7 linked regions of the Cricetulus griseus genome follow. The protein of the gene in region 3 interacts with the protein of the main gene of each other region in a pairwise test. Links are inferred from orthologs where the notes say so. Each region holds a gene or a part of one and is shown on either strand. Other genes may lie near its edges. The genes, in order: Mta1, Dppa4, Sh3gl1, Mal2, Fam102a, Sh2d4a and Gpkow.

Evidence for each region.
Region 1: the proteins of Sh3gl1 (region 3) and Mta1 interact in binary tests that used the Homo sapiens proteins (3 or more experiments, as listed by UniProt). The two-hybrid records come from large-scale screens. The link is inferred for Cricetulus griseus from reciprocal best matches to the Homo sapiens genes SH3GL1 and MTA1.
Region 2: the proteins of Sh3gl1 (region 3) and Dppa4 interact in binary tests that used the Homo sapiens proteins (3 or more experiments, as listed by UniProt). The link is inferred for Cricetulus griseus from reciprocal best matches to the Homo sapiens genes SH3GL1 and DPPA4.
Region 4: the proteins of Sh3gl1 (region 3) and Mal2 interact in binary tests that used the Homo sapiens proteins (3 or more experiments, as listed by UniProt). The two-hybrid records come from large-scale screens. The link is inferred for Cricetulus griseus from reciprocal best matches to the Homo sapiens genes SH3GL1 and MAL2.
Region 5: the proteins of Sh3gl1 (region 3) and Fam102a interact in binary tests that used the Homo sapiens proteins (3 or more experiments, as listed by UniProt). The two-hybrid records come from large-scale screens. The link is inferred for Cricetulus griseus from reciprocal best matches to the Homo sapiens genes SH3GL1 and EEIG1.
Region 6: the proteins of Sh3gl1 (region 3) and Sh2d4a interact in binary tests that used the Homo sapiens proteins (3 or more experiments, as listed by UniProt). The two-hybrid records come from large-scale screens. The link is inferred for Cricetulus griseus from reciprocal best matches to the Homo sapiens genes SH3GL1 and SH2D4A.
Region 7: the proteins of Sh3gl1 (region 3) and Gpkow interact in binary tests that used the Homo sapiens proteins (3 or more experiments, as listed by UniProt). The two-hybrid records come from large-scale screens. The link is inferred for Cricetulus griseus from reciprocal best matches to the Homo sapiens genes SH3GL1 and GPKOW.

What each region holds. Positions count from the first base shown.
Region 1 is NC_048598.1:180,931,752-180,935,525, forward strand, and holds part of Mta1 (metastasis-associated protein MTA1), read right to left. Parts: intron 1,854-3,774; coding exon 1,803-1,853; intron 1,229-1,802; coding exon 1,102-1,228; intron 1,022-1,101; coding exon 958-1,021; intron 1-957. UniProt on the Homo sapiens protein: Transcriptional coregulator which can act as both a transcriptional corepressor and coactivator. Acts as a component of the histone deacetylase NuRD complex which participates in the remodeling of chromatin.
Region 2 is NC_048597.1:42,771,294-42,774,597, forward strand, and holds the end of Dppa4 (developmental pluripotency-associated protein 4), read right to left. Parts: intron 1,918-3,304; coding exon 1,714-1,917; intron 656-1,713; coding exon 622-655; downstream 1-621. UniProt on the Homo sapiens protein: May be involved in the maintenance of active epigenetic status of target genes. May inhibit differentiation of embryonic cells into a primitive ectoderm lineage.
Region 3 is NC_048598.1:97,526,865-97,530,638, forward strand, and holds part of Sh3gl1 (endophilin-A2), read left to right. Parts: intron 1-3,108; coding exon 3,109-3,177; intron 3,178-3,277; coding exon 3,278-3,350; intron 3,351-3,640; coding exon 3,641-3,774. UniProt on the Homo sapiens protein: Implicated in endocytosis. May recruit other proteins to membranes with high curvature.
Region 4 is NC_048603.1:797,637-802,122, forward strand, and holds the start of Mal2 (protein MAL2), read right to left. Parts: upstream 2,943-4,486; coding exon 2,811-2,942; intron 1-2,810. UniProt on the Homo sapiens protein: Member of the machinery of polarized transport. Required for the indirect transcytotic route at the step of the egress of the transcytosing cargo from perinuclear endosomes in order for it to travel to the apical surface via a raft-dependent pathway.
Region 5 is NC_048599.1:144,254,069-144,258,524, reverse strand, and holds the start of Fam102a (protein FAM102A), read right to left. Parts: upstream 2,945-4,456; 5' UTR 2,607-2,944; coding exon 2,461-2,606; intron 1-2,460. UniProt on the Homo sapiens protein: Key component of TNFSF11/RANKL- and TNF-induced osteoclastogenesis pathways, thereby mediates bone resorption in pathological bone loss conditions.
Region 6 is NW_023276806.1:245,041,845-245,046,130, reverse strand, and holds the start of Sh2d4a (SH2 domain-containing protein 4A), read right to left. Parts: upstream 2,916-4,286; 5' UTR 2,787-2,915; intron 1-2,786. UniProt on the Homo sapiens protein: Inhibits estrogen-induced cell proliferation by competing with PLCG for binding to ESR1, blocking the effect of estrogen on PLCG and repressing estrogen-induced proliferation. May play a role in T-cell development and function.
Region 7 is NC_048604.1:114,166,676-114,170,449, reverse strand, and holds part of Gpkow (G-patch domain and KOW motifs-containing protein), read right to left. Parts: intron 595-3,774; coding exon 462-594; intron 1-461. UniProt on the Homo sapiens protein: RNA-binding protein involved in pre-mRNA splicing. As a component of the minor spliceosome, involved in the splicing of U12-type introns in pre-mRNAs.

The sequences.
Region 1 (3,774 bases), about 83 Mb from region 3:
GGTCTCAGGCAGGTCTCACCAACAAGTCCATGGCTGCTCAGACTAACGGCGCATGTAGCAATAGCTGAACCACCATGTCAACTATTTCTGGGCTCTGTATGGCAGGAGTGGAGAGATGACTGGTATCCCTACAGAGCAGGTTCACAGCGAGTGACCCGCGTGGGGGGGTGGGCTGAGCTCAGGACATATTCTGCCACCCTGGTACTCTCAAGCTTCAGTGGCACTCCCTGGGGGCACACAGGAGATGGGCCCTGTTAGGCCAGCCTGTACCTGGGAGCCTCAGGCCACAAGGATAGAGCTGAGGCAGCAGAGTCCTAGGGGCAGGTCCCAGGGAGGAAGAGGAAGAGGGGAAGGAGGATGCGGTGATGACGTGAAACCGGACACACCTGCTTCTTACCTGACTACCAGTGTTCCTTCCAACTGCCACATCCTCCAAGTAACTGACATGGCAGCCAGTTAGCCTCGGAAACCTGACCTTCCCAGCAGTGGTACTGAACACCTCTAGGGGTGACATCTCATGGGTAATACCCAACCATGTGCAGAGTGACCCTACATAACAACTACTTATCCCACAGGCGGAAAGCCCACGAAAGCCAGCAGCCAGCCCTGAGGTCACCTGAGACTGTGGACAAAGAGGGCCTGTCTAGGCTTCTGTTTTCCACGTGATACCTATGGAGTTTTTTTTTTTTTTTTTTTTTTTTTTTTTTTTGCAGGTATCTGGGATCCTGGAAGCAGAAGTGCTCACCAATTCCAACCATCTATCCTCTCAGAGTCGGAACCTCCACACAGGGTCATCTTGAAGGATTGCCTATCAACACCTGAAGTGACTGATAGGATCCAGACGAACGTCTCTGAACCCTGGTGGCAGGGTACTGTGGGTAGGGAAGGAGCTGCAGTGTAATTCAAAGGGCAGGCATCATGCCAGGCCAGGCCAGGTGACAGAAGGATGGGTCTTACCTCACGCTCCAGGTAGGACTTGAGCGACTCGGTCTCATTGAGCAGTGTGACACTGCACTTGCCCCTGGAAGAGAAGGGTGGGTGGGTGAGTGGAGGAGGGCCACCTGAGGCAGCAGGGTCACCAGGTAGGGGTGTTAGAACTACCTGATGTGGGTGGCAGGCAGCGACTCCAACTGCCGAGAGAGGAACAGTTCGCGATGCCGCAGCTGGTGCTTGAGTTTCTCAGGCAGGTCCACCATCTCCGGGTTCTCCACCTCTTCCTCCACTTCCCCTAGAGAACAAAGAGGCCCTGTCAGTCATCCCTGAAGATGGCAGCTGAGAGCCCCAGCCCCCAAGCTAGTTCTCCCTCGTGCAGGGCACCAAGCACAGAAGGGCCACTTTCCTGCCTAGCACATCTCATGCCCATTCCAAGGTGGCTCGCGAGCTCTGGGCAGGCCCCATAGATGCCTTGGAATCCTGGAATATAGGGCTCAACATCAGGATAGGAAGAGGAGGACAGTGTTCAGACTGGCCTTAGAAACAACAGGCAGAGAGAGGCAGGAAAAACATGGGCACACTACATATTCAGGACGGGAAGTTTCATCTGCCAGCCTGAGGCCAGACGGCCCCCGCACAAAACACAACAGATTGCCTGCGCTAGCAGGGTGAACCCTTGAGGCCTGGGCCACAGCCAAGGCCGGGCGGGCTACAGGCTGAACATAGGGAATCCCAGCCCTTAGCCGGCCGGCAGGGGATGCAGGGATGGGCATGTAGGCAGCCCATCCAGGATACATCCACCTGTGTGTCACCCGCCCCAACCCAGGGACAGCCGCGAGGACACCCTCCTTGCAGAGGTCGGCTCTTACCTTCCTCGCCGGTGTCCGCCCCCGGTCCGGCTCTATAGCAGACTGACAGGGCTACATAACAGACAGACAGCGCCCAGATGGCAGGTTAGGGCCAGTGCCAGCGCTTGCTCCCTGCCCAGGGCCCGGACCGAGGAGACATGGGGGCCACAGGCCTCCCGACAGAGGACAAACACCACCCAGTGAAAGACTGACTACCTGTGCTTCCTGACCGCTCCAACACAGGAGCTACCCACCCGAGCGAGACACATCCCTCTTCTATGAGTGCAGCTCTTGTCTGCCCCAACCAGAATGCTCACACATATTCTACCAATCAGGCCCTAGCGCCTCTCTAAATGGCAAGAACAGGAGTCAGGGGCCTCCAGACAAGACTGCCCAAAGAAGGGCAAGAAAATAACAGGACAGCAGGAGGAGGACAGTGACTTTTGGGAGAAGCCCAAGCTATACCAATGTCGCATTTAAGCACCTCAGTTGGCTTGGCTAATGCCCACTACCTGGTATCAACAAAATATTCCTTTGCCTATCCCAGATCCCCAAATAGGGGAGTATGGAACAGTGTGTATAATGACAGCCCAGGCTTGCCTAGAGTGTCCAGCAGGGGGACAGCCCTGCCAACACCCACAGCTCCAATAAGCCTGCCAGACATGGCTGCTCTCTGTTGCCCCCATGTGGTGACTGCAGAGTGCTCTGGCACTTTTGGGAGGGGAATCCCTAGCCTTAGGCATCTTAGATGAAGGCTGGGAGGTTTGTTCTCAGTAAGACTAGGCCCCAGAAGTCTGGGGCATCGCCACTGAGCTATTTTCCTCCTAAACAGGGCAAGCAGGTCTGTTGAGAGCAGCTCCTGCACAGCAGACACGAGCTGTGCACACACACCAGCTAGAGCTTGCAATGTCAGTTGTGTGAGGCCCAACCACCAACTCAGAGGTTAGCTTTTGTGCACACCCACTCTGTATTATACAGCACATCTAGGGAAGACAGCCACACCCTCACTGGGAGAGGGTCCTGTGGCCTGCATCAGTGTCAGGTCCAAGTACAGTCGCTCACAACCCTGACACAGGCACCAAGTGGCTCCAGGATGCCCCTCATCTCTTCTAGACCTGGAGCAAGCCAGACCCTATCACAACCTCTGGCCCCAGCTCTCCCTAGAGACCTTCCAATGGACAAAACCGACGGCAGGGGGCACAGCCCCAACCGGTATCCAAGCCTCCCCACCCCAGGTCCAGAAGCGCTCGCTGGCTTTGTGCTCCCGAGCCACCTCCAGTGTCACTCTGCTAAGTCCTAACCTTGCTCTTGCGGGTACTGGGTAGTGTGGCCAGGCCACATTTCCCTCCATGGGCATCTGGAAGGGGTTTCTGCTCCGGGCACACCACAAGCTACATTGTCTGGCTTCCATCTGAGGGCAGTGCTTGGGCTAGACACCCTGGCAGGGCACCAACTGGGAAGCCAGAGGCTCTGTGACCACAAGGAAGGGCTCCTGGTCTCTAGCTCTTGTGTAATGGCTTCCTACTGTGGAACCAGCGGAGTGTGTCCCGGCTACAGGGAGCTCTATGTAGTCAGAAGCAGCCCAGGGACTGGAGCACTTGGCAGTCACAGCAGGTCCTGGTACCTTGATGCCTGCCTCCTTGGCCTGATGAAGCTCACCGGAGGCCTGGCCAGAGATGCCCAAGCAGCTTTTCTGGGAGCACAGTGTGTGTGTGTGTGTGTGTGGGGGGGGGGTGGGGTGGGGGGTGGGGTCTGTAGCAGTAAGGCTCTGACTGCAGCCATCCTTACAGTAGGTCACTACCCTTCGGCAGACCATTACCCTCCCTCCATTTTGGTGGACACAAGGTGGCCCCAACTTTACTGCAGACTAGGACTCACACCTGCAGGGCCCCAATCACATCAAACATTTATAGTGCATGTAGCATATGTACCTACAGGCCAGAGCATGGATAGACTTTGAGGTCAGGGGTTGAGGGAGCCCAACTTTGTATCC
Region 2 (3,304 bases), on a different chromosome or scaffold from region 3:
TTCCAAAGTCCTTTCAAACATGATGTCCAGAAAGGGGCAAAAGGGATTTCAGGGAAGAAGTAAACCAACCACACAGAAAAGAAACAAAAACTAAAAGTCACAAATGAGATCCGGTGTAATATTTTACAACAATAGAAAACAAACCCAAGAACTGCACACTAACAACATACTACAACCTAGGAAAGAGGGCACACAGAGGCTACAGACACAAGCTGAACTTTAGAGTGGACCACAGAACTGGCTATGACCCTGTTGTGCCTGGGACAGGGCAAACAAGTACTAGATCTGGGAATGCCATATTCTTGCCCCAGGTCCTCCTTGCAGCATAACCAGTAGGACACTTTCTTGTCTTCACACAACAGTAGGTATAACCATTTACAGTGTCCAGTCACCATAGTGGAGAGAGATGGACCTGGTGTATTTTGGTGGCTGCACTGGCTCTTTTCCCAGGCTGCTTGTATTACAGCAACAACTAACAGTGTCCCATAGCTTCTGGGTGATAGGGGCACCTTCACGGGCACAGACGTGGGTTTCCATCAGTCTCAGTCTTGGTTGTGGTTCCGTAGACCACTCCACAAGAGTGGGTGATGACAGCAGATAGCCAAACCTGAGATCCTCCCTTTAGTCGTGGAGACTCTTATTTAAGACCTTGTTCCTAGAAAACAAATTTATCCACGGTTCATTCATTCATCATTTCCTCCTTCCACACCTTACCCCCACCCCCCCAACACTGAGACGAGACAGGGTCTCATGTAGATCAGATTGGTCCCAAATTCCCCATCACCCTGCATACATTTCTCAAGTGCTGGGATTACAGGTATGTCGTACTCAGATAATGAACCAGAACCAGGAAGAATCACCATTTTATTTTTGTTTACTTATCTAGTTTTTTTTTTTTTTTTTTTCCTGGGCACAGGGTTTCTTCTCTAACAGCTCTAGCTGTCCTGGAACTAGGCTGGTCTACAGAGTTCCAGGACAGGTTCCAAAGCTACACAGAGAAACCCTATCTTGGAAAAAAAAAATTCATTTTGACTAAACAAAGATGGTTGATTTTTAAGACAAAGACTATGTAGATCAAGGTGGCCTTGAATTTGTAGATAGTCCTCCTGAATGACAGGTGGACACCACCACACCTAGCTCAGTTGACTGTGAAAGAAACCTTCCCTAAGAACCAGTTTCTTTCACCATCTGATATCAAACCTACTCAATGCTCCTCAACTCTAATGAGACAGATTTAAGAAAAAAAAACTTTAAAATTATGTCTCTTATGTGTGTATATGAAGATGCCACGATGCACATTAGCTGATCAAGGAACAACTTTTGTGAATTGGTTCAGTCTTTCCACCACATAGGTCCTGGGAATAGAATTCAGGCCATAAGCTTGGCAGTGGATACTTTTTTTTAACTGAGCCATCTCCTGCCCAACAAGAGGACTCTGAGCCCAAGCCTAGCCTAGCTACACAATGAGACCTTGTCCTCAAACACAACCAAAAGCTGGTAGCTAGACTTAATGATATATACTTACAATCCCAACACTTGGGAGGCAGAGGCAAATAGACTGCCCCAAGTTGGAGATTAGCCTGATCACACAGCAAGTGTCAGACTCATAAACACCTCGAGCTGTGGAGGCTACTTACCTGAGCAAGACAAGAAAATACTCAAAACACAGCTGATTAAAAGCTCCCACTTTCAATGTGTAAGCATAGCACTCACCTGTGAATACATCTGGGGCACAGAAGGTTGTCCTCCAGGTGTGGGGGTGGGAAGTTGCAGGCTGGAAGCAGGAAAAGGGCAATCACTTTTCCCTTCTTGTCAGGGACCCAGACTTGTCCACCGTGGAACTGCAGCCGAACCCAACCTTTTGTGCTTTCAGTAAAGCTTCTCCCATGAACCACACACCACAATTCTTCTGTGGAAGTTAAGAGAGTTAACACGAGTCACATACTCAGGCACAAGACTGAGCCAGGCCTTGGTGGCGCACGCCTTTAATCCCAGCACTCGGGAGACAGAGGCAGGCAGATCTCTGTGAGTTTGATGACAGCCTGGTCTCCAGAGCGAGTGCCAGGATAGGCTCCAAAGCTACACACACAGAGAAACCCTGTCTCAAAAAAAAAAAAAAAAAAGACTGACCAAAGCCTTCCCAGTACTTAATGACTCCAGGACATGCCAGGCCTGGAATAAAACTGGGAATCCAACCTTTATCTCAACCCATCTTGTTCCCTTGTTCCCTACTACAAAAGCATGCACGAACTCCCAGATAACCAAAGGCTTTTTTTTTTTTTTTAAATGAATTAGGTCTACGGGTCTCACTGTGCAACCCTGGCAGGCCTGGATGTTAAAGATATGTGCTTCTGTGTGCCAAGAGCTGAGGCTGGGCCCTCTACAAGAGCAAGTACTCTCAACCTCGGAGCCATCTTCCAGCCCTCGACTAAGACCCGGCACCCACCTGCATCACACTAAGCATGATTTTTCCTTCACTGAATTTTCTGGTTTTTGAGACAGGGTTTCCTCTGTATTGCTTTGGAGCCTGTCCTGGCACTCACTCTGTAGACCAGACTTGCCTCAAACTCAGAGATCCACCTGCCTTTGTCTCCTGAGTGCTGGGATTAAAGATGTGCACCACCAATGACTCACATTTTCTGTTATTCTTACAACATGAGCTCTCTGTATTTTGAAAAGTCTTAGGTAGACCAGGTTGACTTCAAACTTCTGGTCCTCCTACTCAGGTCCTGGGTTCATAATCTTATGATATCTTATATTGGTTGTTTTTGTGTGGCCACTTGACACAGCTCCTTCATGAGAAGGAGCCTTGGCTGAGGAAATGCTTTTTTCAGATCCAGGTGTAAGGCATTTTCTCATTTAGCAACCAACTACGGAGGGCCCAGGCCATGGTTCTGAGCTCTATAAGCTGGACTGAACAAGCCTCGAGGAGCAAGCCAGTAAGCAGCACTCCTCCATGGCCTCTGCATCAGTTCTTGCCTCTGGGATTCTGTCCTGTTTGAGTTCCTGTCCTGACTTCCTTCAGTGACGAACAGCAAAACTGAAGCGTAAGCCTAGTAAACCCTTTCTCCCTCAATTAGCTTTTTGGTCATGGTGTTTCATCATAGCAATAGAAACCATAACACAGACAAGTCTTTTCTGAGTAATGTTTATTTTGTAATGAGAAACGGGAAATTATTGGTGTCACCTACTTAACAGATGTGAAGAGATCCCAGCCTCAATCCCAGAGAGTTTTTTAATGAAAGGGGAAAGAAATGACCTAAAAGCACATGGCTTCCTGCTTGGTGCGTGAGTAATTTGATGT
Region 3 (3,774 bases):
CTGTGTCTGGCCCCGAGACATGCCACTAGCTTCAGGGACCAGGATACTCCATGGGGCAGTGGGTGGTCACCTTCTTGCATGTCCTCTCCAAAACCTGCCTCTGCCTCCCACCCAGCCCCATTTTATTTTTTTATATTTATATTTATATTATTTTATATTTATTTTATTTTATGTACATTGTTGTTTTGCCTGCTTGTACGCCTGGAGAGTCCCACGTGCTGCTCAGTGGGCCTGCTCTGTCCTTGGTTGCTCCCTACCAGGAACCAGACATCAGGCATGGAGTAGGTCAAGATTGGGCGTGTGGGGCTCGGTGGTTCTGCTCTGCAGGGAGGTCTGAGGTGGAAGCTGAGAAAGAAGGGTGGCTGTGACTCTCCAGGCTCAGGCTACCGGCAGCCCTAAGGTCTCCAATTGAGGACACAGAGTCTGCCTGTGGCAAGGACAGAAGGCTAGGCTGCATTCTCTCCCTGTGAACTGATGACCACTAGGAGTCTGGCACGGCACCCACACACCTCTCTACCCTCTATGTCCTGTCCACATAGATGCTGCTGCTCCTTCTCTCCCCCAATCCCTGTGCTTTCTGGGCCAACACGGGTTCCCAGTGTCCTGCGGATGCTGTGCCTATCATGATGCTTCTGCTGGTAAAGTGAGGCAGGTGAGCCTCTAAGAACACTGTTGTGTCCTTCAGAGTGTCCCAGTGCCCTCCTGCATCAGCCTGCCTCAGACTCTCCAGGCAGCTCTTAGTTGTGGGCCAGGTTCCTCCCTCCCCCCCACCCCCAGAACAGGCTGAGCCCTGGTTGAGAGCTGTGCTAAGGAGCAACAGAAGGATCTGTTAGCTGCTATACATGAGGCATGGGTGCTTAGGTCCACCAGACAACATGGCCATCCATAGACATTTCTCATGCTCTGTGGTATTGCACAGCAGGCCTCAGTTTGACCCTCCGGTGACTGACTGGATACAGCATGGAGCTGCCCTGTGCCCACCCTCCCCTTTCATGTCACTATCTTCGTTGCTCAGACTGAACGTCCTGTGGCCACTAAGCCACCTTTCCTAAAGAAACATGACTGTCCAGGGGTGGTGGCCAGACCAGGCAGGGTGTCAGCTCACATGTTCCTCCCAGAACCTTCACTGTGCCTAGCTTCTCCTGTCACATATCCCGTCACTGTACTTAGTTTGGCAATGCTGGTGCAGAACTGGGGGTCTCATGCATGGGGCAAGGTCTCTACCCAGTGGCACTCTGGTCACTGTGATCCTGTTGGGAGGCCTACCTCCCTGCTGTGCTTGCCCCCACTCCAGATGCCTGGTTTACAGGTGACATTGTCAGCAGAGCTTGTGCCAGCAGGTGTAGCTCCTGTGCTCCTGGACAAATCTGTGGAAACAAGCTGGCCGGGGATTTGGGAGCAATCTTGGTGCATTTTGCCTTGGGCCCAGATCCCTGGTTGTGTTGTACTTAGCCAAGATACCCAGTCTGTCCCCCTGAGGTGACTGCAGTAAGGCAGCTCTTAGCAGGGGTGATGTCCCTGCTCCCCCCACAGGCTGACAGCTCTCTGCTGAGAACCTGAGTGTTTGCATGCCAGCCACCATGCAGCTGCTGCTGTGCTGTGGGCAGCTGTGGTGGGTCCCACACACTTGTACACTGCACCCTGTTTCTGTCTCTGGAGTGCAGGTGGTGGGAGGCAACATGCCCATGAGCTACAGAGGGCGCTGATGGTCCTCCTGCAAAGAGACCCAGAGTATGAGGGTACAGCCTGCTCATGACATGTGTGGTGGCCAGTGATGTGGGGCCCCCAGATCATAGGTCACAGGAGATGGGAGCATTAATAGAGCAGCCCAGTATGCTCCAGGCTCTCCTCTTCCTGCCTGACTGCTCTCCCTGAGACTCTGGTCCCCTGGCCCAGATGCTATCCCCTGGAAGCTATGGCTCTGCCTCACTTCTCTGCATTTACCAGAAGAGCAGGGCCTCATGGTGGGTGACATCCTGCTTTTGCTCGCCCAGAGAAGCGAAACAGGGCCGTGAAAGTCAGTGGGGCTCCCTGTGAATACCCAAAGGAGGTAGCCAGTTGGGCCTGCCCTGGGGAGGACATAGCTACAGGGACACCCCCCACACACACTGTCTTCCTGTCTCTCCCTACCCTGAGTCTTATCCACTCCTCTGAGATGCTCTGGGGAGCCCAGAGAGCAGCTCTGTTCAGTGGGCAGACCAGAGAGCATGGAGGCCTTCAGAACGCTGTGGGCAACTAGTCACAGACACAGGGCAGGGAGGCCACTTCCGGTGGTGCCTCTCTGCAGCCTCCCTACTTCCTGATGTCTTTGGTCACTTCCTCCCAGGCCACCCTACAAAGTCCTTACTGCCTCTGCCTATGGTATGGGACACCACATGGCACTTGCAAATCCCTTGCCCACATCAAGCAACAGCTCAGAGTCGGGAGCACCATGGCTATGGCCCGTGAAAGCCTCACTGGCACCCTTCTCTCAGGAGGCTAGCCTGCTGTTCTGCATATGGGGTGTGTATGCACCTCATGTGGGGGTGATCTGGACAATGACTGCCCTGCTGGTGCATCCCAGGGCCTTGGGTGTGATAAGTGAAGATGGCTGTGGTGGGCAGACTTGGGGAGAAATGGGGCCTTGTGCTCCAGAGAAGTGACACACACTGTGTCACATTCAGATAGTGACACAGGCACTTGGGGCTCCCTACCATGTACCTGAGGCCAGCCCAGGGCAGTTGGCTCTGTCCACCCTGCCCCAGGCTCTCAAGTTCTGGCTTCCTTGAAGGGCCATCCTTATCAGGTGTCAGTGTCACAGTGCAAGCACTAAGGATTCAGGTACACAGGAGTCTCCTGAAACCTGCAGTACCCTCATGTGCAGGACACGGAGTACAAGCTGGCATGGGGCCTGCTTTGCCTCTACCAAAGTGACAGGGTCGACCCAAGAGCTGTAAAAGGTGGACAGTCCCCACGGGGTGCTGGGCTGAATCCCAGCACACCTCAGCCCTTCTCCCGGTCTCACCCAGACTCCCCGTCTGCCTGCCTGTCCCAGAGGCTGCATCCTTGGCAGGCACAGCGGGTGTCCCTCCTGTGCCCTCACATGCCTCCCTCCTTCTACCCCAACAGCTGGTCAGCGAGAAGGTTGGCGGGGCCGAGGGGACCAAGCTAGATGATGACTTCAAAGAGATGGAAAAGGTAGGAGTCCCAGGCACGGTCTGCAGAGCTTCTGGAAGACAAATGGGCCTAGACCGTTCTGCCTCGGTGTCTGATGCTCCAACACTGGCTCTCTTCGCAGAAGGTGGATGTCACCAGCAAGGCCGTGGCAGAAGTGCTGGTCAGAACCATTGAGTACCTGCAGCCCAACCCAGGTAGGTCACCCTGAAGTGGTGACCATGGACCTCCCAGCTTCTGCTTGCCTCCACACACCAGGGTCCCTTCTGCTGACTTGCTGGGCTGATGTACAGTGGGGTCAGGTCTTCCCAGGCAAGGGTGAGGCAGGGGCCATGGAGTAGTACCGTGACTGTGTCCTCTACTATCTCCATGGTACTTCTTCCTGAGGAGGCCTAAGGGAGGGGGCATGTGGGATTGGTCCCTTCTGTGAGCTCCGGAGGGCTTTGGTAGACACCCCCTGTCACCCAGGCTGTCTGTTCCTTTGCAGCCTCAAGGGCCAAGCTGACAATGCTGAACACTGTATCCAAGATCCGGGGCCAAGTGAAGAATCCTGGCTACCCTCAGTCAGAGGGGCTGCTGGGCGAGTGCATGGTCCGCCATGGCAAGGAACTGGGTGGAGAG
Region 4 (4,486 bases), on a different chromosome or scaffold from region 3:
GTAAAGTGTTTGCATTTTAATCCTGAAGTCCCAACTTCAACCCCCAGAACATACTAAAGAAAAGCTGCAGAGGGTGATGTGTTCTCTCAGTGCTATACAGGCAGAGCCAAGCGGATCCCTGGCCAGCCAGCCTATTCTGCTTGGCAAGTTACAGGCCAGTAAGAGATCTTGCTCATCCTGATCCCTATGCCCAAAAGAGTCCAAAGGATAGTGAGATGACTCAGTGGGAACAGTGCCTAATGTCAAGTCTGAGAATCTGAATCTGACCCCTGGAACCCGCATGGTGGAAGTAGAGAACTGATTCCTGCAAGTTCTCCCCTGACCTCCGCACAAGCGTTGTGGAATGGGTGTGCCCTCTGTTCCCTCAATAAATAAGCAAAATATTAAAAAAGAAAAGGTGGACAGTTCCTGAGGAATGACACTCAATGTTGTTCTCTGGCCTCCATATACACTTAAACACACAGGCACGAGGATACACACACACACACACACACACACACACACACACACACACACACACACACACGTGCAAGTCCAAATGGCTTTGGGAAGAGACTCCTCTACTTTGATAAGAGTCTAACCCGTGTCAGGGTTAGGTAAGTTGCCAGAGGAGCGGCTAAGAAGACTAAGAAAGCAGGAAGTATGTGGGATACTTCCCCACACTTCCAGAATCTAATCCTCCTATCCATCCTAATGAACAAAAAAACGTTCTCCTTTCTGCAGATCCTGGTCCAAAGGCACTATCAGTCAGTTGCAGTTATTCTGTGTATTGGGATCTCCAGGGAACTTTAAAAAAAATTAGCTGACTCTGGGTGCTCCCTTAGAGACACTGGTTTAATTAGTCCAGGCTGGCAACAGTACTTTTCAAAGCTGCCAAGTTATTAAATACAGCCAGAGTTAAGAACTAACTACTGTGGTAGATAGGAAAAGGAGATATGGAGCTAGAAGGAGTTCAATAAGTCACCTTCAGAACTAGTGTTCCATAAATGTGCCACACCGTCAGGTGGGTCCTGAGTAGCATTTGTTTTGATAACATGTGGGCAACACTTCTATGCATATGTTTCCATATACACATGTGTGTATACATATATATATGTATATATATACATATATGCCATGTATATGTATACATACAAGTTAATTGTATAAATATATTTGAATAACTATTAGAAATGTATAACCAACATATCAAATTTGAGATGCAATGTATATTACTGCTGAGGATGAAGCTAAGTTCTAGCCAAAGGTTAGGCAGCAACTCTACCACGGAGGGCAGCTTTTCAAGCGTTCTTGGGATTTGAACACAGGTCCTCACAATTTTGCAACAAGTCCTTTACTCATTGATCCTTTGTCCTGGCCCCTGAAAATGATAAATTTTGGTGTTAATGTTTTCAGCCTGAGCTAAAAGGCTTGGTTTTGCAAGATCAACTTTGTATTAAACTTAGGCAAATATATGGTAAATATGTAACAGGGAAGGATAGCTTGGGCCAACACCGAGGGGCTGGCAAGTTAGGAGCTCAGTGGTAGACCACACCTATCTCAAGACTAATATATATAGCATCACTGTCTCATTCCTATGCCGCTGTACTGGGCTTAAACCCGAACCCACACCAGGGTCTTCTAGACTCACAGTCAGTCTGATCCCAGCTGCCACCGCCTCTGCTTTCCGATTCAAATCGGAGCTAAACCTAAGGTGGCTTGGCTACCAAAGCATAGTGGGGCAGAAAACCAAGGCTCCCACGGTTTTCAGCTCCACAGCACAAAAGGGAAGCCAGAGTGACCCAGATCCAGGTTATGCAAACTCACAGGAGGATGAGTGACATGAAAACCCTAAAGGGAGCAAACAAAACCCGCCTGCAGGAAAGGCCCTGCCTTGCTAACATTTCTTTCTATTTGACATTCTCCGGGCATGATGCAACCCCAGTTGCCCAATTTATATTTACACATCCCCCTTGTCCACAAGGAGCTTCGAAAGCTCCCAACTGTACAGCATTCCTTGCCCAAGTTCAAGTGTCTAGTTCCACAAGGTTGCAGGGCGGGCCTGTGACTTCAACTTTCCTAGGTACAAGCGAGGTGCTCCGAGGAGGTTTGGAATTCTCAGGTAAACTGAAAATGGACAAGGGGCAAAGGCGAGAGTTGGAGCTGACAGCCCCACGTCTGTCTTCCACTTTTCCCCACGGTTGGTTCTCACGGCCTCTTGATTACACACTGCCAACGGCACCTACAATCTCACCGTCCTCCCTGCCCCGTTCTTCCCCAATCCAAAGGGCACTGACGATGGCAAGGGTGAGTGGGGTGAAAACCATACCCAGGCTTCAGCCTCCTCCTGCTCCTCCTTTTCCCTGGCGCCTTCCGCCCCGGCTTTCCACATCCTACCAGCTTCCTGGCCACCCAGTCATCGGTACACCTTTGCACCACCCAACAAAATGGCAGGTTAGCGACAGGAGGGGCCGAGGGCGCCAGTTCCTCCACCAGGCAAGCGTAGACCCTGTCCAAAGCCCAGTCCCCGCGACTCCTCCAAGCGCTAACACCCCTCTCCTGCCCAAGTCCCTAATCTTGGGCCCTTTGCCTGCTCGCACTCTAGGGGACATTTCCATTCCAGGCCGGCGAGCAGGTGGCCGCGTAACAGGTGCCAAGCAAAAAGGCCCGGACACAGAGTGGAGGGGACCCCGAGACCGTGGGCAGGAAAAGGCCACTTCCAGGAGAAGGTGATCGCCGGGGGGACCAGACCGGGCTGGGGGCAAGGATGCTGCCTTGCCTGTCCCTGCTCCCCGGGGCTCGATCGTCGCCTACGCTGCTACCCTACTCACAATCTCCAGGCAGACGAAAGCTCCCGAGTAGGTCCGCAGGATGTCGGGGCCCACGGGCAGGGTGACCCGGGGCGCCGGGAAGGACACAGCGGGGTTCGGGGGCGGCGGGACTGCCGCTCCGCCGGCCGACATGCTGCCGCTGCTACGTCTCCGCGCACAGCCGCCACCGCCTCCCGCGTCCGCCTCCGCCTCCCTCCCGGGCTTGCCGCCGCCGCCGCGCCGCCGCGCGCCGCCGCCGCCGATCCGGTCCGCGGGGTCCGGGCGTGCCGCTCGCCGAGAGGGCGTGGCCAAGGGCCCTCTACACAGAGCCCCGCCCCGTCACGTGGGCGCAGGTGAGCACGTCCCCGCCCCGGCGCCCGCAGGGGTCACCCGTACAGGTGCGCGGTGCGCTCCGGCTACAGGGCCACCAGCTCGCCCAGGCTCTCGCGATCACCTGCTGCCCCTGCGCTAAATGTCCCGCGGGTCCCACCTCTCCATCCCACCCCACTCTCACCCGGGCCTCACCCTCTGTCCCCAGTTGGGCAGGAAGACAGAGACTGTGACTCAGAAAGCAAACGCCAGTCGCCAGGCACACCTGGAAAGCGGGATGCCTGTTTTAAAGGGGACTGTAATGGAATTTTCAAAGATGTCACCAGGGTCGTGTGGCACTTGGGAGTCGATGGCTGGCCGTAGGTCCCCGGAGGGCTGCTTTGAGGTTTCCTACTCTGTTCCGGGAAATCCCTATGAGGATATCCGCCAGTGAGGGACAGAAAAGTTCAGTGCCCAGGAAGCGCTCTGTAAACTGTAGCTTTTAGGACGGCAGCTACTTTTCCAATCCCGAGATCTGTATCATTGCTCTGTCTACAAACGATGTCAGCCGCATCACGTTTCCACACAGACCCTTTTCATTTAGCCCTCACACATGTACTCTTTGACACTGTCTTTTAACACTCAGCAGACCAAAAAAAAAAAAAAAAAAAAAAAAAAAAGGATGCTATGTATGAGTCCCTTGCCTCAGTTTACCTCGTGCGTTCCCATTGTAGTCTTGGTTTCAGTGTTAATGTCTGTAAGTGGGACAAAGGAAGGGGCATTTCTCAAAGGTCATCTGAAGATAAGTTAAATGACTCACATCAGCACACAAGTAGATCCAGTGGAAAAAACAATAGCTAACCCTGGCATGGCAGCACAAGCCTGGAATAGCAGCGTTTCATAGGATGAGGCCAGAGGATTGCCCTGAATTTGAAACCAGAAGGCTGCAAAACCGGTAATAGGACATCTAGGGATACCTAGGGAGACCCAGTCAAGCAACAAGGACACACACACACACACACACACACACACACACACACACACACACACACACACACACACACACTATCAGACAGTCTCCAAACTGAGTCTGCGAGTTGCTCCCTGCCTGGGCTGTCAGCAGGTTTTACCCTACGTCTTTATTGTTTTAATGAGCGAAACTCATAGGTGTGGTGGTGGTGGCACCAGAGGAAAAGCCACAAAGCAGGGTGTGGATGAAATCCTTTATACGTACCTCCTGTCACCTAGGGAGGTGATACCTGTTACTCACCACTTCCTGGCATTTTGTGTGTGCTGTTTGTCTCATAGGAAACCTCGTGCTTTCTGCATCGATTTGTTTGACCGATGAACTTTTCTGTAGCCAGACCCTGATTGGCAAGGACTTTTCA
Region 5 (4,456 bases), on a different chromosome or scaffold from region 3:
TCTAGGACTGCTGTCAGTCTGATACCACCCATGCTGCCAACAGCACATCAAAAGATCCAGATGTCCCTGGGGTTGGGAAGATGTGCTGCCACATCTAGGCCCAGGATCTAAGCAAGTCCAGTCACCTCAGTCCCTACCCCAATAAGCTCACAGCAGTGGAGGGGTGGCCCAGGCTCCTGGGCTAAAGGATCAATGTGAGAGGGGTGTGGTAGAGGGAATAGCAACCTAGGAACCCCCACCCCCTGGGTAAAAGCCCACAAAAGCCAAAGCCACTTCAAAGTGGCTCAGGTTCCAACATCACTGCTCTCTACAGCTACAGCTGCAATACCCAGGTGTCTAGAATCTAAGTGCTCAGCCTTGGGCCTCAATGCCAGCTATTTCTCTTTAGCAAAACAAACACACACACCACACACACCACACCCACCCACCCACACAAGGCTTTATCCAGGATGGGAACTGGGAAAGGCTGCCTAGGCTCAGCTGGGCTCAGAGAATCTGGTCTTTTGCCAGGAGGAAGAAGGGGAAACAGAGGTGAAATCCAGAGCCATGTGTGCTAAGTCCCAGAACTTTCCAGACTTTCCAGGATGTGGGGGCAAGTTGGGGCAAGGGAAAAAAGCTGACGGGTAGGGTCTTAGTGGCTAGCTAAGGATCTAGGCAGATAGGTGAAACTGCAGCATGCGCTTGGTGCAAATTCCTTGGTACAGTTGACAAAAGGACCTCTGCTAATTAAGAGATGTCGTCCAGTATACACCACCCCTCCCCCCATCCACTCTCCAACCCCACCCTGAGTCAATGAACTGGGGTTAGAGGGAGCTGGGGTCTGGGCCCCTTACAATATAGTAGCTACTGTAGCACCTTCTCTAGTCAGACATGGTGCACTCTCCACCCCCCTCACACTGAAAGGTGGGTATTACTTCCCCATTTTACAAAAGAGGAAACTGAGGCTCAGAGGCACAAGGTAGCAGTTAAAGCCACCCTCTCTGAGCCTCTATTTTCATCTCTGTAAATGCTCCCCAGACCCCACCTCTACTGCTCCATGGCCCAGTCAAGAGGTTAAGAGGAGCTAGTAAAACAGCAAGCAGAGCACCAACAACTGCTGGCTCTTGAGATATGGGATCAGGGAGACTCTGTAATTCACCCAGAGCCTGAAAGTGGCTGACTCCAGGCCCATCTCTGAGCACAACCCTCTGACACTGTGCTGTTTACAGGCTTCACGGGCTGCAGACTGTAGCTACCCCACCACAAAGGGCACCCCTTGTCCAAATTCCTCAGATAAGCAGCTCCGAGCAAAACAGGAGGCTCAGTGCATAGAACAGGCATTTCACTCTATCCACACAGATTCCAAAATCTGAATCAGGCCACATAGCTTCTCTCCTCCCAGCAGATTCACCCAACAGGTCTCCTAACAGGCAGTTTGGCTGACAACTGTCTCACTCAAGGTCCCTGGCAACTATTTACTTCCTCTTTCTGGAGCCCATTATCCCAATCAGTAAAACACACCTCTGAGATCTCAGAATAGTGAGGCATCTCCAGCTAACTAAGCCCACAAAACCTAAGGAACAAAGGGCAGACTAGGTAAGAGGAGGAGAGTATCCCAGGCCTTGGGCCAGGTGCTGTATTGTGGGCCTATCTACTGCAACTTTTTTCCATATCTCTGATGGAGAAATCTGTGTGATCCACTGTGCACAAGAGGGAACAGGAACCCAGAAGGAGCCAGAACTTGACTCCCCTTCCTCATCAGTTGGACTCCAAGGGCCTCAGCAGGCAGGCTAGGACTGTGTGGCCCTAGTGAGATCAATCTGCAAAGGGTAGACTAAGAACTTGGATTTCATTCAGAAATAAGCTGGGAAACTGGACCTACCAGGATGGGGAGGACATAAAACCTAACTGGTCTTTCACAGAGGAAGGCAGTCTTCTGGCAAGGACGTTTGCAATGCAAAGCAGCCCAGCTTCAGCCAGTGGAGGGCAGTCACTCAGAGGGGGCTGGGCAACCCAAAAACCTGCCACCACCCTCAATCAGATCCAGGGAGTGCCTGGGACTGGGTTTTCCCAGCCATGAGGAAAATGCCAGAAAACCTGTGGCTGGCCTAAGCTCTCAATCATATGACAGCCACAGGGGCCAGCTTGGTGGTAAGGTGGCCTAGGGCACTCCTACTTACTCCCTCAAAGAGCAAATTTCATTCAGTCCTCTCCATGCAAGTTTGCAAAATGGGTGACTTGGAGAATGCATTCAGGGCCCTAAAAGGTTTCTGGCTGGTAACCTGCAGATAAGCGCCTGGCACAGTGCCAGCCCCAAGTACTGCCTCGAGCAAATCTTCCCCCAGACACGTATAACGCCCGGAAGTCCCTTGCCGTCCCGACCTGAGGCTTCCACATTTACCAAGATCTCATTCAGCAGCACCCCCCCCCCACACACACACACACAGCCTCCCCTGCAAACACAAAAGCCTCAAGGCCTACCTGGACGACAAACTGACAAAATCCCCGCCATCCAGCAGCCGGACTTTGCAAAAGAGGACCCCGTTCACGAAGGGGACCGCAGTCAGCTCCTCCAGGGTGAAAGTGGTTTGGAATTTGAATTTCTTCTTCTTCATCAAAAAAGCCATGAGCGAGTTCCCTGAGTCTTAAGCCCGCAGGGCACAAAAAAAAAAAAAAAAAAAAAAAGAGGGGATCCCAGAAATCCCCAGGATTCCTTTCCCTATACCACACCCCCCTCCTCAAAAAACACCAGGGCCGGATCCAGTCCAGATGGCGGCGGAGGCTGCGGGGCAGGAGAAGATCTGAGTCCGGAGCCCGGCGTCTGGGAGACCAGTCCTGTGGGCCGGCTACTTTCACCTTCGGGGGGCCCGGGCTCCACCGGCATGTAAACAGCGAGGCGCGGCCCCGGCAGCGGGCGGCTCGTGAGCAGGCAGCAGCATCCCGAACCGCGGGACCAGGCGGACCGGTGAGACTGAGACTGCCGGGCGAGCCGCGGGAGGCCCGGGCTGCGGCCCCGCCTCCGCCCCGCTGGCGGCCGGGGGAGGCGCCCAGCGGCGCACACGCCTCCGCACCTGGCGCCCCGCGGCCTGCGCAGGTGAGGCCCCGGGAAGCGGAAGCCACCTCAGCGACCGCCCGGGCTCCGCAGGGACCTCTCCGGGAGGCTCTGCCGGGCGGGGAACCTGGCCGGTCGGCCTCCGGCTCAGTCCCGGGACCCACGCCGCGCCTGCTCTGACCGAGCCTGAGGCGCCTTCCGACCCAGCCGGGTGGCTTCTGCCTCGTCCAGCACCCCAGGATCACAGCGGCGCCGTCGCCCGCACCACCGGACGCAGCCGGCTGAGCCCGACGCACCTCGGCGCCGCTCGGAGAATGCCGAAGCCCCGGCGCGGCCGCCCGCCGAGCAGCGGCCAAGCGCGGCAGGGGCGGGACGCTCGAGCCTCACAGCCCACCCGCAATTGGACGGACCGACTTTACAAACGCCAATTTCTACTGGCTGGCGGTGGCGTGGGGCGGGGCTCGAGGAGGCAGAGCCGGTTCGGGGCGCTCGGATTGGTGCACTCGCGGAGCTGAACCCGCCTCCTTGAGACGAGCCGGGGTGGGGGGTGAAGGGGACGGAGAAGGGTGGGAGGTCGCGGGTGGGGGCCGGCACAGGCAGGAGCGGGAGGAGAGCGCGCGCGAGGCCAAGAAACGAAGAAACAATGACTTGGAGAAACCATCTGGAAACTAAGGCTGGAACGACCTGCCCGGGTCCCGCCAAGACCTGAGCTCGTTGAGCAATAAAGCAGGCTGAGGAGGTAGTGAACCCATTTCTCAGGAAAACGACCCTCTTAAAGAGGTGGCCCAAGATCCCAGCAGGTCGTTCTTGCCTCTGAATATGACAAGCGTCTGCCCTGGCGTTGCCGTTTGTGAGGAGCCCTGCAGCCTTATGACCCAGCTTGCCTCGTTCCAAGCTGTTATCTAAGGCTTTTGTTCTTCAGTTTCTGGGATAGTTAGCGCTAGATTAACTGCTCTGGAGGCAGAGGACACTTTGGGGAGCCTCGTTCTCTCCGAGCCATCGGCGTTTTGTAATTCTTTGCATCCGGTCCGCCAATGTGTAGGGGCTCTGCCTGGTGGGCTTCTCTTCTACCCCTCCAAGCAGAGCGGATCACAGGGGGCTACAGCCAATTGAAGACCTTAAGTAGACGTATGGGAAAGTCAGAGGAGGCGTTGGGCTTTTGGTTTGGGAAGGAAACTCAAAGGAGGGGTTTAGTGACGGCCACCCGAGGCCTGAGGGCCAGGCAGCGTGGTACTAACAAAGTTTTGAGCACCCCCCTGGACGAATTCTCATTTGAGAGAATGGAAGATCAGCCTTGTCGACCAGAGTAAAGAGGGAGCTACCATCTGTTTTGTTTTGTGTTTTGAGCTAGATAGTGACTTGCTTGTTCTGGCCTCAGGTAATGGGGAACTGGTGAGTGAGGCCACTTTTGATTCCCGAAGGAGA
Region 6 (4,286 bases), on a different chromosome or scaffold from region 3:
AGACAAGCTCAGTCAGTAGTCAGGTGCCGCAGGACATCTGCAGCATTAGGCTCTCTAATTACTGATGGTACAGGGGGCCTGGAAGCTACATGTATTGTTGCTACTGGAATTCAAATGGAACACTATATTAAGAGGAAGGCTAAACAGCATTAAAAGAATGCCACGACTGTAACTTGGCCATGCATACCCCCGTCAGGGCTCCTAGTTAAGCTTGCATATAAATATGCTTTGAGATGGTCTTCAAAGTGTTATACAGTGCAGAGTCAATGTCTTACGATATTTTGGTTCTAGCACATTCTCACAGAATAGAGTAAATCAAGTCCACACTAAAGGAAGGTTTATGGAAGCTATTCTTCTCCCACGGAAAGAATCTGGTTCTTTGGCATATGTGAGTCCAACGTCCTGAGGTAAAGTAGTAAGTAAATAAAGTAAATGACTCCTTGAAATTCCCGGAAGCCTCCATAAATGGCTACACTCCATGGCCTCGGGGGTTGATGCCCACAGAACAGGATAGAAAACTAGCAATGGATCGTGGCTGCAGCTTCTACTCTATCCCCAATCTTTAATCCAATGAATAGCATTAGAGGGTCAGGGGAGAGCTGAAAATTAACTCCCTCAAAGAGCCAAGGGCCCATTCCTCCCCCAGTCTGACCCAGAGTATTCTGATAACAGAACCAACACTTCACTATTGCAGGCACTAAAGTAAATACTTAGCCTAAGTCAACTCGCTTCACCACTCTAACTCCAAGAGGCCAGTTCCATTTCACAGCTTTGTAAGACACTGGGAGGCTAAAGCACAGCAGTGACCATATCCACTGCAGTGACTGGCGGCTACAAGTTTACTCACAAGCCCAATCGCTGTGTGACACCAATTTTAAATTTTCAGAACAAAGACCAGAAAACCTCTCTGGGAAGAGAACTGCAGATGTGGAGATTCCTCTCCTACAGCAAGAAGGCCAACACCAATCAACTGTAGATAAGCTTAGAGGAGGCCAGAGAAGAAAACACCCCATCCAGGAAGGCGCACAGAGCCGACTGCCACACTGGCTCAGTGTTGAATATGTCTTCCTCTTGTTTTCTGGTTGCCAGATACTTTGTCTCCACAATATTCCTTTCCACAGCACATCTGTAAGGAAGTGTGCAAACCCTTTTTGTTTTACCTTGCGTAACAAACATGGACTTCAAGCATTAAGGTTAACTAGTCAGATTGTTTTGTTTTGTAGTCCTGAGGTTTAACTCCTGTCCCTTGCACATGCTAGGCAATTTCTCTGTTGCTGAGCTACACCCTCGGGCCTCTTTTTACTTTATACTTTAAGACAGAGTCTAAGTTGCCCAGGCCAGTTTTGAATAGGCTAGGCAGGCTTTCACCTTTCTATATTGACTGCCTCTGTCTCCCACCTAACAGGGACTATAGACCCTGACCACCAGGGCCACCTTAATCATTCTCGGAAAAAAGACAAGTGACTCCTGGGGTCCTCTGAGAATACAAGTGTCTGTGGCTGTTGACTGTGGGTGCCACACTGCACTGCTGATTCACTCTGGATGACTCTTCTGCCACCCTCTTCAAGGTTTCCCTTATAGCAGACTGTTCATCAGATACCTCAAAGGACACCAGCCCAGATTCCCAGATTTGCCTCCCGTGAGCTGTGACTTTGGGGGGGGGGGGTGTCACTTCTCATCTTTGGACTTAGATTCCCAAAAATTAATCTTGGGATCTCTGCAACTCATAGATTGTGAGACAAAATCTACCTTGAAGTTATTGAGCCAAGTACAGGAAATAAACATGAGGAAATGAACCAGCCAGGGGTTTTCCTACTTTCACTGCGACGGGACACTCATTGCGGCCACTAATTCACCCAGTCATGTTTGGGTGTCATACTGAGTGCAGTTGTTTGAGATCCAACATAAAGTGCAGCTCAACTAACTTGTTTTTCTTCTCCTGTAGGGCTGTTCTTGCAAAGGAAAAATTAAGCAACAAGCCACACCTGTTGCTCACTCTAAAAATGTCTAAAATCCAGAATTTGGTTAAGTTCCCAGGATATCTGAAGATCGTACCTAAGACCCATGAGCCCCTAGGACAGGAAAGTCCTGGTGCAGCCAACTGGAGTCGGGTTCTGACTTCAGCCTTGATCCAGAACCACAGGGAAGCGACACTGCCCGCCCCTTCCTGTACCACGTGGGGGCGCCCGCGCAAGGATGTCCCTGCCGGGGAACGCGCTCATGGACTTCTGCGTGAGCTGAAACCGGTTTTCAGGGCTCTCTGGAAGGTCTCCGGGCCAGGAGAGACCCCTGGCTGATTTGCGGATACTGCCGCCGGCACCCCGCAGCTGCAGTTTGGCGAAGACCCTCACAGGTGGCTTCCGCCGGCTGCACCTGCCCCGGGCCGGTGTAAACATTCACTCACCGCGTGTGCAAGCACACTGCCCGGACCGCACAACTTCCCCCGAAAGACGCCAAGTCGCCTCAGATTCTCCTCTCACTGTTGGCACTCGGTATATCGGTCACAAAGATCTCAAGCCCCCTGTCCTTCGGCCGTCACTCACCATGCCGCGGCTGCAGACAATGGACACCCTATACTGGACATCGGACACCGGCGGACACCGTGGTCGCCGGTTCCTCTGGGCACCTGAGCCCGCCTTGCGCGCGCGCGGTGGAGGAGGGACCCAAGGGACAGATGCGCGGGGACCAGGGTCTCACCACCCTCCTAGCCCTGGCCCCTGTGCTTCTCCCCTTGTCCTGGAGACCCACCTCCCGAGTCCCACTGCCCGCTCACCCCAGTCACCTACCTGTTCAGGACCCCAAACAAGGTGGCCCAAGCACCTGCCACCTTCCGATTGCCTCCCGCAGCTGTCCAGGAAGAGAAGGGAGGACAGGCTGAGACCCAGCCAGGCGGGCAGGCTGGACAAACACTCGGGCCCAGAAGGACACTCAGCGTCCAGCTCTGAGCCCTGGCCCGCCCCGCCGCGCCCACATGCCGGGTTGACTGACTGGGCGCTCCCTCTGGGCCCCACCCGGGAGCTGGAGACACTCCAGAGCCACTAGGCTAGGCTTGGCTGCCTTGGTCCAGCAACAGTAAGGCAATCCTTAGTTAACCTAGAGCGCTGTCTGCAGCCTGGGATGGTTTGTTCATCCCAGAGTGGTCTGAAGAACGTCTTACAGCTGGCCCTTTCCACACTCAATTTGCTTGCGAGGTGGAGCCTGTGGAGGTGGGTAGGCCCTTCTGGGAACCTGGGTCCTGCAGGCCAACTTGGCTCTCTCTCCAGTTCTGCCCCTGCATTTCTACAGCTTACTGCCCCCCCCCTCTTTTGTTGACATTAAGTAAAGTATCAAACACTGAAGCATTTGTTACCCCAGGTGTGGTTTTACCTGCACGATCAAGGAAGAGAAAGGCTGGAATGTGGGAGACTCCAGGCACTAGAGACAGGGACAGCCAGGGAGAGGAAGAAAGGAAAAATAAAAGGTGGAAGAACCCTGTGACTAACAGAAGAGGACCAGGGTGGTGCAGGGCACAACTTCAGCAAATCTCAAAGCAAAGCTCAGCAGCATGGAAAGGTGGACAAGCCTCTGGGAAAGAATGTTAGGGATGTGTTCAGGGAAACAGTGCTGGGTCGCTGGGGGCGGGGGGGGGGTGCGGCGACGACACAGGACCCCAGCAGACTCTGAGTGTGGAGAGAAGTGCCATACAAGAAGAGAAGCATGGTGTGACTCTATACAGCCTGTCCAACCAACTAATCGAGAAGCCTGACATGCCAGGCCCAGATGTTGTTTATCTTAAGCTTTGCCAACTGAAGAGTTGGAAAACCTTAAGGTAGGGGTCATGCCACACATTCTCAGGAATCAGCCTCAGGCCATTAGGAATGGTGTTTGGGATCCATTCAGGCAAGGATTCCTGGCCCAGGGCTTACTCTCCACTGCATTTGATTGCATGGCCGGTGAGGTGCTTTAGGCTGGCATGTCCCCCTGTGTTTAGGGCTGTATCTGCTCAGTCAGTGCCCTCACACTCCCTGGATGGAAGTTAAGGAACTACGCGAGTGGGCCATCTGTCAGCTGAAACCTTATGGGACCCTGGACTATCCACCTCCACACTCATTCTGTCTCATGTCTTCACAAGGCCATCTTAATAGCAGCTCTTCCCCTTTACCTATCTGCCTTGAGGCTTCCTACTCAGGGCAACAGCAGTGCCTGGCCCAGTCTGTTGTCCTGAGAGTTAAGTGAGATAATGCATGCAAAGAGCTCAGAGTATGACTGGATAACGTGTTCAAATACTCACTGAATGCCAGAGACTG
Region 7 (3,774 bases), on a different chromosome or scaffold from region 3:
TGCCTGGCGTTCATAGCAGAGGGGAAGAGCCGCAAGGACCTCTAAGCGGCCCTACAACCATTACTGTTCTGTCTGCCTCTCCTTTGCTCACACCCCAACCCTAGTCTCCTATCTGGCAAAAGAGAGGACCATCACTCCAAATACAAATGGACCTCCTGCGGGTAGGAATTGCTTTCCATACCCATTTCTTGCTGCTTAGAGAGGATGAAGATGCAGGGTACTAGATCAAGCACTTCTCAAACTGAACAAACTAGTTTGGGGATGTGGCTCTGTGGTAACAGTGTCAAGGCTCTGGGTTCTATTCCCAGCACTACCAAACAAACAAAAAAATGAATAAACTAGTCTTGTCCCTTCTCATGCCTGACCTCTGACTGGAAGTCCCACACTGCTTTTCCTTCCTCCAGATATAGAGAAAGCCTGCCTGACACCATGCTTCCCAAGTTTCCACCAATGAGTCTCACCTGGCTGTGAGGCGTGGCTATCAAACTCCTGCTGGGAAACAGGTTGTAGGCAATACTCACTAACAGTCACAATGCGGTTACCTACTGCCAGCCGAACCATGGCCCGTACATTGTCAGGATCAAGGCCTTCTACCTAAGGTGGGAGGTAGGAATAAGGCAGAGGGTGAATGGACTACAGCTGCTAGTTCTAAAATGTCCAGCCCTTACCTCTAATAGGTTTGAGCTCTCTGTGTCTCTCTTACCTTGTTTGCTTTGTTTTTGGATAGAGGTTCTCACTATGTAGCCCTGGCTGGCCTATAACTCAAATCCACCAGTCTCTGAGTGCTGGGATTAAAGCCCAACTGTATGCTGTGACCTGTTATGGCTAGGACCATGCATGGTTCCTTTATCTCTACTAAAACTATAACTCCTAAGAAACAGGAGTAGGGGGCTGGGGAGACGGTTCAGAGGTTAAGAGCACTTGCTGCTCTTCCAGAGGTCCTGAGTTCAATTCCCAGCAACCACATGGTGGCTCACACTCATCTGTATTGAGATCTGATGCCCTCTTCTGGTGTGCAGATATACAAAGAAGCAAAATGTTATACTAAATAAATAAAATCTTTAAAAAAAGAAGAAGCAGGAGCAGGCATGTTCCTGTATCTCCCTTAGCAAAATGTAAAACAAAGACGTGTGTGTGTGTGTGTGTGTGTGTGTGTGTGTTTACATACACGTAGCTACTATTTGTGTGGTGTGTGCATGTGTATGTGGAGGACAGACGTCCATATCAGGTGTCTTCCTTGAGTGCTCATCACCTTATGCTTTGAGACTATGTAGCTAGCTCACTGGCCTGAAACTTACTATTTTACCAGGCTGGCTTCAACCTCACAGAGATCTGCTTGCATTGTCTTTTGAAGTGCTGGGATTAAAGGTGTAAACCACCTTACTTCTTTGAAATTTTTAGTTCATGTGTGCATATTTTGCCTGCATGTATGTGTCTCTACACCATGTCATGTGTATGCCCATTGTCTGCTGAGCCCAGAAGTGGGGGTTGGATCTCCTGGAACTTGAGTGACAGACAGTTGTGAGCTGCATCGTGGGTGCTGGGAATCAACACGGGTCCTTTGGAAGAGCAGCAAGTGCTCTCAATGGCTGAGCCATCTCTCTAGCTCCACCTTATGCTTTTTTTATCTTTTTTTTTTTGAAACAGTGATCTTGGAGCTCATTGATTCAGCTAGGCTGGCTGGCCGATGAGCTCTGGAGATCTACCTAGAGTCTCTACTCCCCAGCTTTGGGTTATAGATGCATGTATGCCTGGTTTTTATATGGGTGCTGTGGATCCGAACTCATGTCCTCATGGTTGCATGCTAGCCAATCATTTTCACACACTGAGACATCTCCCCACCTCTCATTTTTTTCAAGATAGGTTCCAGGCTAGACTAGTACTTGTCATGTAGCTGAGGTTGGACTCAAACTTGCAGCAATTCTCCTGTTTCAGCTTCTGAGGTACTAGGTTTGCATTAATAAGCCACCATGTTTGCTTCAGACATCTTTTAAACACTTATGTTTCATGGAAATTGTGGGATATGGCATTTTCTCCCTTTTGGTTGAGAACTGAGACCCAAAAAGGCCCAGAAAATTGTTTTGGAGTGCTCACTGAAGCAGTGGGCCAGGCAGGCCTGTAAGATTAGGATTTATAGGGCTGGAGAGAGAGCTCAGCAGTTAAGACAACTATTTCTCTTGCAGAGGACCTTAGCTCAGTTCCCAGTATCCATGCCAGGTGGCTCACAAACACTTGTTAATCTAGCTCTAGGGGGAACCCAATGTTGAGCACCCACACTTACCTACAAATACCTACACTTATTTTTGTTATTTTGAGACAAGGTATCATTATATAACCTTAACTGGACTGGAACTCGCCATATAGATCAGGCTGACCTCAAATTCACAGAGATCTGTCTGTCTCTGACTCCTGAATGCTGGGATTAAAGACATGCAATACCAGGCCATGAAGAAAAATAGTACCATGAAGAGCTTTGCATTGTGGGAGTTCCTTCCTTTCTCACTCCCTGGACATTTTGGTGCCTGCTCTGGTTGGGGGCTGTCCTGAACATAAGAGGAAGATGGTGGCCACAGAGACAGAAAGGTGTCTGGAGTCAATCAACTCTAGGCTCTAGTTTGTTATAAGTGAAAAATAAATGCTGGGATACAGGCAGACTCTGAAGATGACAAAACAGGGCAAAGCAACATTGGTTATCCTTACCACCAACTGCCAGCTTTGAGGCAATCTGAAATAGAATACTATGCCATATTGACCAAAACTGGTGTCCACATTGCTAGTGGCAGTAATATTGAATTGAGCACAGCAAGTGGAAAGTATTACAGTGTATTGCACTGGCTTGCCATGATTCTGACATTATTAGAAGCAAACCAGAACAGATTGATGAAAAGTAAACCAGAAAGCAGACACATGTAGAGGCTCAAAGTTGTCATCAGGTGTCTCCCTCAGCTGCTCTGCACTTTCCTGAAGCAGGGTCCCTTGCCAAATATGGAGCTGGCCAGTTCAGGCTACTATAGCCAGGCTGCTCTGAGGATTCTTACTTCCTCCTGAATGCTGGAATGGCCTGCAGCTGCCACTTTCCTGGCTTTTATGTGGGTTCCATGGTCTGAATGCCAGTCTTCAAGTTTGTGTAGTAAGCACTTTGTCCACTGAGCCATCTCCCCAACCCCTTCTCTTGTTTTTTGACACATGGTTTTGCTACATAACTAAGACTGGCTTTGAACTCACAACGTAGTTCAGGATAGCCCTGAGTTTTCAGTAATCCTACCACCTCAATCTCCTGAGTATGTTACTATGCCTATCCTTTGTCTTTCCCCCCTTTCATTTAATTACATTCTTTAAATTTCTGAGATTATGATATAATTCCAACATTTCTCCCTTCCCTTTCCTTCCTCCAAACTCTCCCATATAGCCCTCCCTGCTCTTTCAAACTCATGGCCTCCTTTTTTTCCCCCGAGAGAGGGTTTCTCTGTGGCTTTGGAGGCTGTCCTGGAACTAGCTCTTGTAGACCAGGCTGGTCTTGAACTCACAGAGATCCACCTGCCTCTGCCTCCCAAGTGCTGGGATTAAAGGCGTGTGCCACCAGCACCTTGCTCATAGCCTCCTTTTTACCAATTATTATTGCATACATATATGTATTTTATATACATATATATCCCTAAATATACCCTGTTCAGTCCATATAACGCTACCTGTATGTGTTTTCAGGGCTGTTTGGCACTCAACAACCAACTGGTGTGCTTCTCCCTGGGGAAGACCACCTCTCCCCATTCCCAG